Linked DNA regions of Yarrowia lipolytica. The protein of the gene in region 1 purifies or fractionates together with the protein of each later gene. This does not show direct contact. Links are inferred from orthologs where the notes say so. Each region holds a gene or a part of one and is shown on either strand. Other genes may lie near its edges. The genes, in order: YALI1_A18166g, YALI1_E25541g and YALI1_E31034g.

Evidence for each region.
Region 2: the proteins of YALI1_A18166g (region 1) and YALI1_E25541g purify together in Saccharomyces cerevisiae (affinity purification with mass spectrometry; 3 studies listed by BioGRID, with this or other methods). This does not show direct contact. The link is inferred for Yarrowia lipolytica from reciprocal best matches to the Saccharomyces cerevisiae genes RLI1 and YAE1.
Region 3: the proteins of YALI1_A18166g (region 1) and YALI1_E31034g purify together in Saccharomyces cerevisiae (affinity purification with mass spectrometry; 3 studies listed by BioGRID, with this or other methods). This does not show direct contact. The link is inferred for Yarrowia lipolytica from reciprocal best matches to the Saccharomyces cerevisiae genes RLI1 and LTO1.

Annotation. Positions count from the first base shown.
Region 1 is NC_090770.1:1,815,193-1,818,958, forward strand, and holds YALI1_A18166g (uncharacterized protein), read left to right. Parts: upstream 1-1,391; coding exon 1,392-3,242; downstream 3,243-3,766. Other genes in the region: YALI1_A18188g (uncharacterized protein), read left to right, coding at 3,617-3,623, 3,755-3,766. UniProt on the Saccharomyces cerevisiae protein: Component of the multifactor complex (MFC) involved in translation initiation. Required for the binding of MFC to the 40S ribosome. Required for the processing and nuclear export of the 60S and 40S ribosomal subunits.
Region 2 is NC_090774.1:2,553,076-2,555,163, forward strand, and holds YALI1_E25541g (uncharacterized protein), read left to right. Parts: upstream 1-1,082; coding exon 1,083-1,448; downstream 1,449-2,088. Other genes in the region: YALI1_E25537g (uncharacterized protein), read right to left, coding at 200-697; YALI1_E25549g (uncharacterized protein), read left to right, coding at 1,855-2,088. UniProt on the Saccharomyces cerevisiae protein: The complex LTO1:YAE1 functions as a target specific adapter that recruits apo-RLI1 to the cytosolic iron-sulfur protein assembly (CIA) complex machinery.
Region 3 is NC_090774.1:3,102,558-3,104,574, forward strand, and holds YALI1_E31034g (uncharacterized protein), read left to right. Parts: upstream 1-915; coding exon 916-986; intron 987-1,051; coding exon 1,052-1,454; downstream 1,455-2,017. Other genes in the region: YALI1_E31031g (uncharacterized protein), read right to left, coding at 1-525. UniProt on the Saccharomyces cerevisiae protein: Essential for life in oxygen, but nonessential under anaerobic conditions. Required for biogenesis of the large ribosomal subunit and initiation of translation in oxygen.

The DNA.
Region 1 (3,766 bases):
CGTACAGTGGAAATCAGGGCCGCGTGCATGGAACATGGAACCGTGGGAGCAGTTTGTAGAGAATTGGTGGTGGGCTACATTGTGCGTGCGGCTGTGTTCCGGTAATTACTGCCATGGTATGTATGATATGATATGTACGAGTATTGACAGGAGAACCAAGGGGCAAAATGGAGGACAAAAAAAGAAGACAGGCGTTCCAAGGACGTACAACAAAGTTCTGGCACCGTTGCAAAGGTTTGAATGTTGCTTGGGTCCAGAATGTCTGCAGTAGCACCAAAACAGTTTTGGAGAACATAGAGCATTTTGATGAGACGCTAGACATTTTTCAAGTCCCTTTTTTTTTTTTTTTTTAAGAAAAGCCGAATTATCCAAAAAAAAAAATTCAAAGAAAAACAGAAAAAAAAAAAAAAAAAAAAAAGGGGGGGGGGGGGGGTTGAAGTAATACCCGGGTGGGGTAATACCTGGCTAATTCCCTCACATAATGATGAAGAAGTCCCACATAGTAATGAGAGGAATCCAGCTGGGTCGTAGGACGAGATCCATCCTGTAGATTTATCACTGAATCTAGAACTTTTTCTGGTGAATGAGCAAGCACACACCCTCCTGGGGGGGGGGGCGCGAGTTAGTACATCGTTGAACTCGATGAAGAGTGTTAATTTCGACATGAGATTTTCATTCGTTATTCGTCGCATCCAGATACATCGACCGGAAAATATATATACGTATTATGAGGGCTGAAGGTAGGGATTAATGCACTTTTTTATCATTTTTTATTTTTTTGTAGGTACAAATAACGGATGTACGTAAATACAAGTAATGTACGTAGATTCAAGTTCTGACAAATAAAAATATGGGGTGTCTAGCAGATCTACTCTGGTGAGAGTACGAGAACTCGCACGGTGAAGATAGAAGCAGAGACTGAAGCAGAAATATTGCCACCGAGACCGTCATATAATTCCGCAACCACCACGTGTCTCTTGCTTATCTCTGGTTACCTCTGGTATCTCATTGCTACCGTATTTGCAGCGGTTCAAGCCATGTCTCACCTGCTTACTATAAGTAGGGTTACTGGAGGTTGCTACGGTGCGATTCCAAGCAGTAGACCAATAGAGCGGGGGATAAGAGCCACTAGGCTATTGTGGCAGTTTGTATTACCCTACACACGTTTCCACGGTTGCCGATCACGTGATCCACACACACTTCAAATGTGCAGCTGGCCAATCAGCGGCGTCTTCTTGCTGCTTACGGCTCCTTCTGCCAGCCCTAATTTATTTCCCCTTTTGGAACCGACCAAACTGGAAGGGGTGCGGAAATAAGGTTGGGTAATTTTTCAAAGGGTGCAAAAATTTGGCACACCACGAACCACAGAACTACGGAACTCCAACATCATAATGCCGCCCAAGAACAAAAACGAAGTCAAGGACGGAGACAAGAACACGCGTATTGCTATTGTCAACGTGGACAAGTGCAAGCCCAAGAAGTGTCGACAGGAGTGCAAAAAGTCGTGTCCTGTGGTGCGAACCGGCAAGCTGTGTATCGAGGTGACGCCCGACTCCAAGATTGCCTTCATTTCCGAGACGCTGTGTATCGGATGTGGTATTTGCCCCAAAAAGTGCCCCTTTGGCGCGCTGCAGATTATCAACCTGCCCACAAACCTGGACTCTGAGGTCACCCATCGATACTCGGCCAACTCCTTCAAGCTGCATCGACTCCCCACTCCCCGACCAGGCCAGGTTCTTGGACTGGTGGGAACCAACGGTATCGGCAAGAGTACCGCGCTCAAGATTCTTGCAGGCAAGCAAAAGCCCAACCTGGGCCGGTACGAGGACCCTCCCACGTGGCAGGAGATTCTGACACATTTCCGAGGCTCCGAGCTGCAAAACTACTTTACTCGGGTGCTGGAAGACAACCTCAAGGCCATCATCAAGCCCCAGTACGTCGACAACCTGCCCCGAGCCATCAAGGGACCCCTGCAGAAGGTTGGCGAGCTGCTCAAGGCCAAGCTGGAGCGAAAGGACGACTTTGAGAACATTGTCAACACCCTGGAGCTCAAGGGTGTGTGGAAGCGAGAGGTGTCTCTGCTGTCCGGAGGAGAGCTGCAGCGATTCGCCATCGGTATGTCCTGTGTCCAGCTGGCCCAGGTCTACATGTTTGACGAGCCTTCCTCATACCTGGATGTCAAGCAGCGTCTGCATGCTGCTGCCATGATTCGGTCGCTCATCGACTCCACCGGTTATATTATTGTTGTCGAGCACGATCTGTCAGTGCTGGATTATCTGTCCGATTTCGTCTGCATTCTCTACGGTGTCCCCTCCGTCTACGGAGTGGTGACTCTGCCCTCGTCTGTGCGAGAAGGTATCAACATTTTCCTGGACGGTCACATCCCCACCGAAAACCTGCGGTTCCGAACCGAGTCTCTGCAGTTCCGACTCGCCGATGCCACTGAGATCACCCCCCTTGACCAGTCGCGATCTTTCAAGTACCCCACCATGAGCCGAACTCAGGGCGACTTCAAGCTTAACGTCGAGTCTGGAGAGTTCACTGACTCGGAAATCATTGTCATGATGGGCGAGAACGGTACCGGAAAGACCACACTTTGTCGACTTCTGGCCGGCGCCGTGGCTCCTGATGAGGGACAGAAGGCCCCCAAGCTCAACGTGTCCATGAAGCCCCAGAAGATTGCCCCCAAGTTCACTGGTACCGTGCGACAGCTCTTCCTCAAGAAGATCCGATCCTCCATGCATCACCCCCAGTTCCAGACCGATGTCTACAAGCCTCTGCGAATTGACGACATTATCGACCAGGAGGTCCAGAACCTGTCTGGTGGTGAGTTGCAGCGAGTCGCCATTGTGCTCGCTCTGGGTCAGCCCGCAGATATCTACCTTATCGATGAGCCTTCCGCTTACCTCGATTCCGAGCAGCGAATCATCTGTGCCAAGGTCATTCGACGGTTCATTCTGCATTCGAAGAAGACCGCCTTTATCGTTGAGCACGATTTCATCATGGCCACCTACCTGGCCGACCGAGTCATTGTCTTTGACGGACAGCCCTCCGTCGAGGCCTTTGCCCGACGACCCGAGTCTCTGCTTACCGGATGCAACCGGTTCCTCAAGTCTCTCAACGTCACCTTCCGACGAGACCCCACCTCGTTCCGACCCCGAATTAACAAGAAGGACTCGCAGATGGACAAGGAGCAGAAGGCTCACGGCAACTACTTTTTCCTCGACACTGCGGAGGCTTAAGCGAAAGATGGAAATCGAATGGAGGATTCAACAACGAAAATTGGCAACGAGTAGCAAAATAACTAGGATAGTTACAGGCATTCTAATAGATGTGCGGAATGAAAATGATTGGATAAGTGAGAGAGAGAGAGAATTAGTAGGGTTGAAACAATTACATAAAACCCCACAGAGGCTGTATTTGTATAGGCTGCGGTTATTTTTCGGCTGCAATTTTTTTCCCATTTTTTATACGAATTATTCCCATTTCCCATCCTGCATAAATTCAGATTATTCATTTCGCCTTACTAATAATATAAGGTTTGGAATCACCCTGGAACCAACCAACCACAACACAGATTTATCACCAAGTTAGACTACGCACCTCGAATACGAAAATGTCTGGTGAGTACGAAAACGCCAATAGGCGCTCATTGAGGAATGATCCGGATGCGAAAATGCGCGGAATCGCCGTTCCGTTGCTCCACAACGTCGCCGACGTGATTTTACCGCGCGCGAGACAGAAACTAACACAGAACATCAGCGAC
Region 2 (2,088 bases), on another chromosome or scaffold:
GAAAGCTGTGTTAATGGCGGACAGAGGGGGTGGCGTGGAATTTGGCGGTTACCTGAGGGCCATTGAAGTACTGGCTGCAAATTCGGTGTGACTTCGGTATTATTGATATGGCTGGTACGCAACTGAAGTCATATTCCGTCTGTATTTTAAAGATAGCTCGAACATCTCATGTAGAGATTCGATGATCACAAACTTGGAACTAGGGAATGTGTCTGTAGACTATCTCTGAGTTACAATCAACCATAGCCCAGGGCCTCTTCCCCGAAAACTCACCGAACGTACCAGTACCATCTCTCACTCTCCCATACTCACCTGAGACAACAGCGTGGGCTCTAGGCCACTGAGCTGGAGGAAATCTCCCCATACCTGCGTTAGTAACGTGTAACAGGCCAATTGGGGCCTTTTGGGGTTCTATACTCACGGCTCGGACGTGTTTGAGAACCTGGGCGTGCGACATGTTGATGTGGGGAAGATGAGCATGCATGCATGAAGTGCAAGGGAGATTGGGTGCAGTGGAGCTACTGTACCTGTAGGTTGGAAGAGGTTGCTTGGTATATTTTATGGACGACATGTTAGAAGTGGCGGGGAGATGGAGTATGTTCTGGAATAATAGAGTCGAGACGATATGATAAAAGATTTCAGGCTTCTTGAGTGATGATATTTGAGCAAGATAGGTCCTTAATGTTGTTTCGTTCATTGTAGCAACCGATCAGTGGATAAGTCTAGTTGGGAGAGGTACAGTAGGGTGTTAAGAAAGCGTCACCGAAAGTGCGGTCCCACAAGTACCTACAACAGCAAAATCGAGAGCTGCTTTAGACTAGAATGAGAGACCTAGCTTGTGAGGTTGAAGTGGCCCACTGGTGAGATTGATGGATAAAAAAACCCATCCTATCGCCCTAGCAAACCTCCACTGTTACCTACATTCCTAACTACACTTTACTTACACTTTACTTAAAACTCTGGTCCTTAAAAGACCAGCCAAAAATTCCAAATAAACTCAACATGCATGCTGATTTGTAAGGGAGCCTGCACATAAAAATGGCATTGAACTGACATCTTTCTCTAAACAGAGCAACAACGACATGTCCGACATCTGGGATGACGAGGAAGTGAGAGAAACGCCCAGCGAGATCACACGAGTGAAGCGCGACCACTCACAGGCAGGCTACCTTGCTGGAGTCACAAAGGCCAAAGACGAAAGTCTGCAGGAGGGCTTCAACGCAGGATACCCCATTGGAGGCCAGCTGGGGCTCTCTATCGGGCGTATTTTCGGCTATTTGCAGGGAAAGGGTCTTGTTGAGGAGGAGAAGCAGGCCCGCAAAGAACTCAGCAGCACGAGGATCTTCGACAGACAGTATTGGACCACTGATGCTGCTCCTACATATGAGGGAGTGCATCCTCTGGTGAAGCAATGGGAGAACAAGATTGACGTCATGAAGCGGGAATAGAGGAGGTAGATGTTGCTGAGTATGCTTTGTGGAGTCTGGATGGTGTACAGTTACCAGTACTCTTACCTCAGTTAACTGAGAACGAGATCACGTCTTGGAACAGAGGACCCCACTACTGTCCACCCACGAGTACGGTGCGACTATTTAATGATTAATGATTGTATTTTAGAGATGCACTTCAAGTATATGATAATTTAGTAGAAGATCTGTATCAAAATCTCAAGCTCTGAGCTTTCTACCAGCCCCCTATCATTTTCGCCCCATATTCAGCTCTACTTAATTTTCTCAGTAAACTCAACTAAACATACTCGACGCCCCACGTCCAGCAAAGTTCAGACATGCATGAAATTTCAGCGTCTGAAGTTATCACCAAAACGAGCATTTTCTCCTGTCCAGCAAAACTGCCATGAGTAAACTGGAGGTGCTACAGCCCCACAGTGTCGGCAAGCGGATCGCTTCGATAGCCGTGAGTGGGACGTTGGCCCAGCAGCAGCGGCGGATAGAGGAGGGCACACAGCGTACACGGAACCAACTGCGCACGCGACAAAAAGATTTTTCACGACCAACGGCTAAAGACACGTACTTCGCGGGCGTGTCCAAGGAAACCCGTTTTATCGACACATACACGGCCCGGCTGCGG
Region 3 (2,017 bases), on another chromosome or scaffold:
AAAATTGCCTTCCTGATCGAACTTGCCCTCCTCCAAGTCTTGCTTGAGATTGAACGATTCCATCTTGGGTGTGTATTTCTTTGCCCTGCTCAGATCCACATCCAGTCCGTCCATGTCGTCCTTTGTGTAGTAGTCAATATCCACTTCCGAGTCGGACTCCTCTTCTTCTAGAGGGGCCACAGTGGTGTGTGTACCGACATCGCCCTCAAACTTTTCCATATCCATGAACTGCGGTTTCTCGTCATCAAACTCCTCCTCCTCGGGCCTGTCGCCGTTATCCTTCTCTTTGTTCTCTTCGTCTTCGTCCTCACTGAACATGTCGCTGTCACTGTCGTTGTTTCCATGTCCATTTGCTCCCTTCACAGGCGCATCCTCATCGGAAGAGTCGTCATCGATGCCTCGAAGCCCCTTTTTCTGCGCCCGGACTCGTCCCCCAATATCCTCCTCCAGCAATTCATCGAGTTCGGTCGTTTCCTCAACCTCAGGCGCCAGCTGGAGCGGGTTATTGGTGTTAAAAGTAGACATGGTGATGAAGAAATCACAGCATGCATGTCGAATGTTTGTGCATAGTATAAAGGAGTATATAAGTCTACTAAATGTCCAATAACAAATCCAACTAGACTTAGTGATTGAAAATTAATGTATTATATTATTATACCTACAGGTTAACACAATCTCTGTGAAATACAGTACTTGTAGAACCTGCCAACAATTTGGACCACCTTTTTTCGAACACACATATCTCCTTAATCAAAGTTTTTTACTTGTAGTGGCAGTTCTCTTGCTCTGGCTAAGCAGTCGCATCCTACGTGCGATACGATACATGCAGCTCTTCATCTGCAGGTTAAATTCAATTATAAAGCATCAAATTTATTGTACTCACCATCTATCACACTCTCCGCCGCGGCTACAGAAATGCCAGCTATCCCTACAGAAATGAAGCAGCACGACGACATCTTCGAGGACTTGTTCCAGCTTGAAGAAAAGTGAGTCAGAGGTAACTGAAGGTGCTCAGACACCACCATCGGAAAACTTATCATGCTAACCACAGATTCTACGAAGAAGGATACAATGATGGACTACAGGCTGGTACAAAGGCTGGGTTTGCTGAAGGACGTGAGTTTGGAGTACAGACGGGATATCAGCGGTTTCTGGATCTCGGTTTGCTCCAGGGACGAGTCATAGTGTGGGAGGAACAGGTGGCTGATCTACCTGAAAGCAAACAGCAAAAGACAGTCGAGCGACTGCAACAGATCAAGCAGCTGATCCACCAGGAGGAGCCCACATATTTTTTATCCAACGATAGTGTGGTCGTTCATCAATACGAAACTATGATGAAGAAGGCCAAGGCCAAGGTGAGAACTTTGGCAGCCAGCATCGGTAGCGAAAAGGTGGTGTTTGAGGATCTGCTCAAGGGTTACACTGAAGAGGAGAATATCGAGGATAACTTCTAGAACGATATCTAGACGTATGGGAGTGGCGTGAGGAAGAAAACCTCAGCTAACCAGAGAAGGGAGATTACCAATTCAGCACCCAACCCTGACGGTTGCATCTCAGACAATGATAATGACACAGGTATGCAGATCGATCGCCTCAGGTTGTCTCATCTCGTTCTAAGGAGGTTAATGCAGTTCAAATAAGGGTGCTCTAGAGTCTTGCCACTCGATCTGCCTCAATTACCTGCTGAGTCGCTCAGACGAGCGAAGCTGCAATGAATATACGAAATTGATGAGTTATGAGTTATGACACATTATATTTAGAGCTGTATGTTGAATTCTAAGCAAATGCGAAGAGTCCCTTGACGGTAGACTTTCTCATGTGATCAATACTGAGTCCTTGTAGATAGGAAAAGTTCAAGCCTAAGCAATCTTTTGACTTCCTAAAGGACTTTAGAAGACACACATGGCGGTGTGTTGACCTACACCAGCACCCAGTAATCAGCATGTACTGTAGAACTGTAGCTACAGTATTTGTATGACAACTGCTTTTATTACCACCTACAACTGCAGTCATTTTT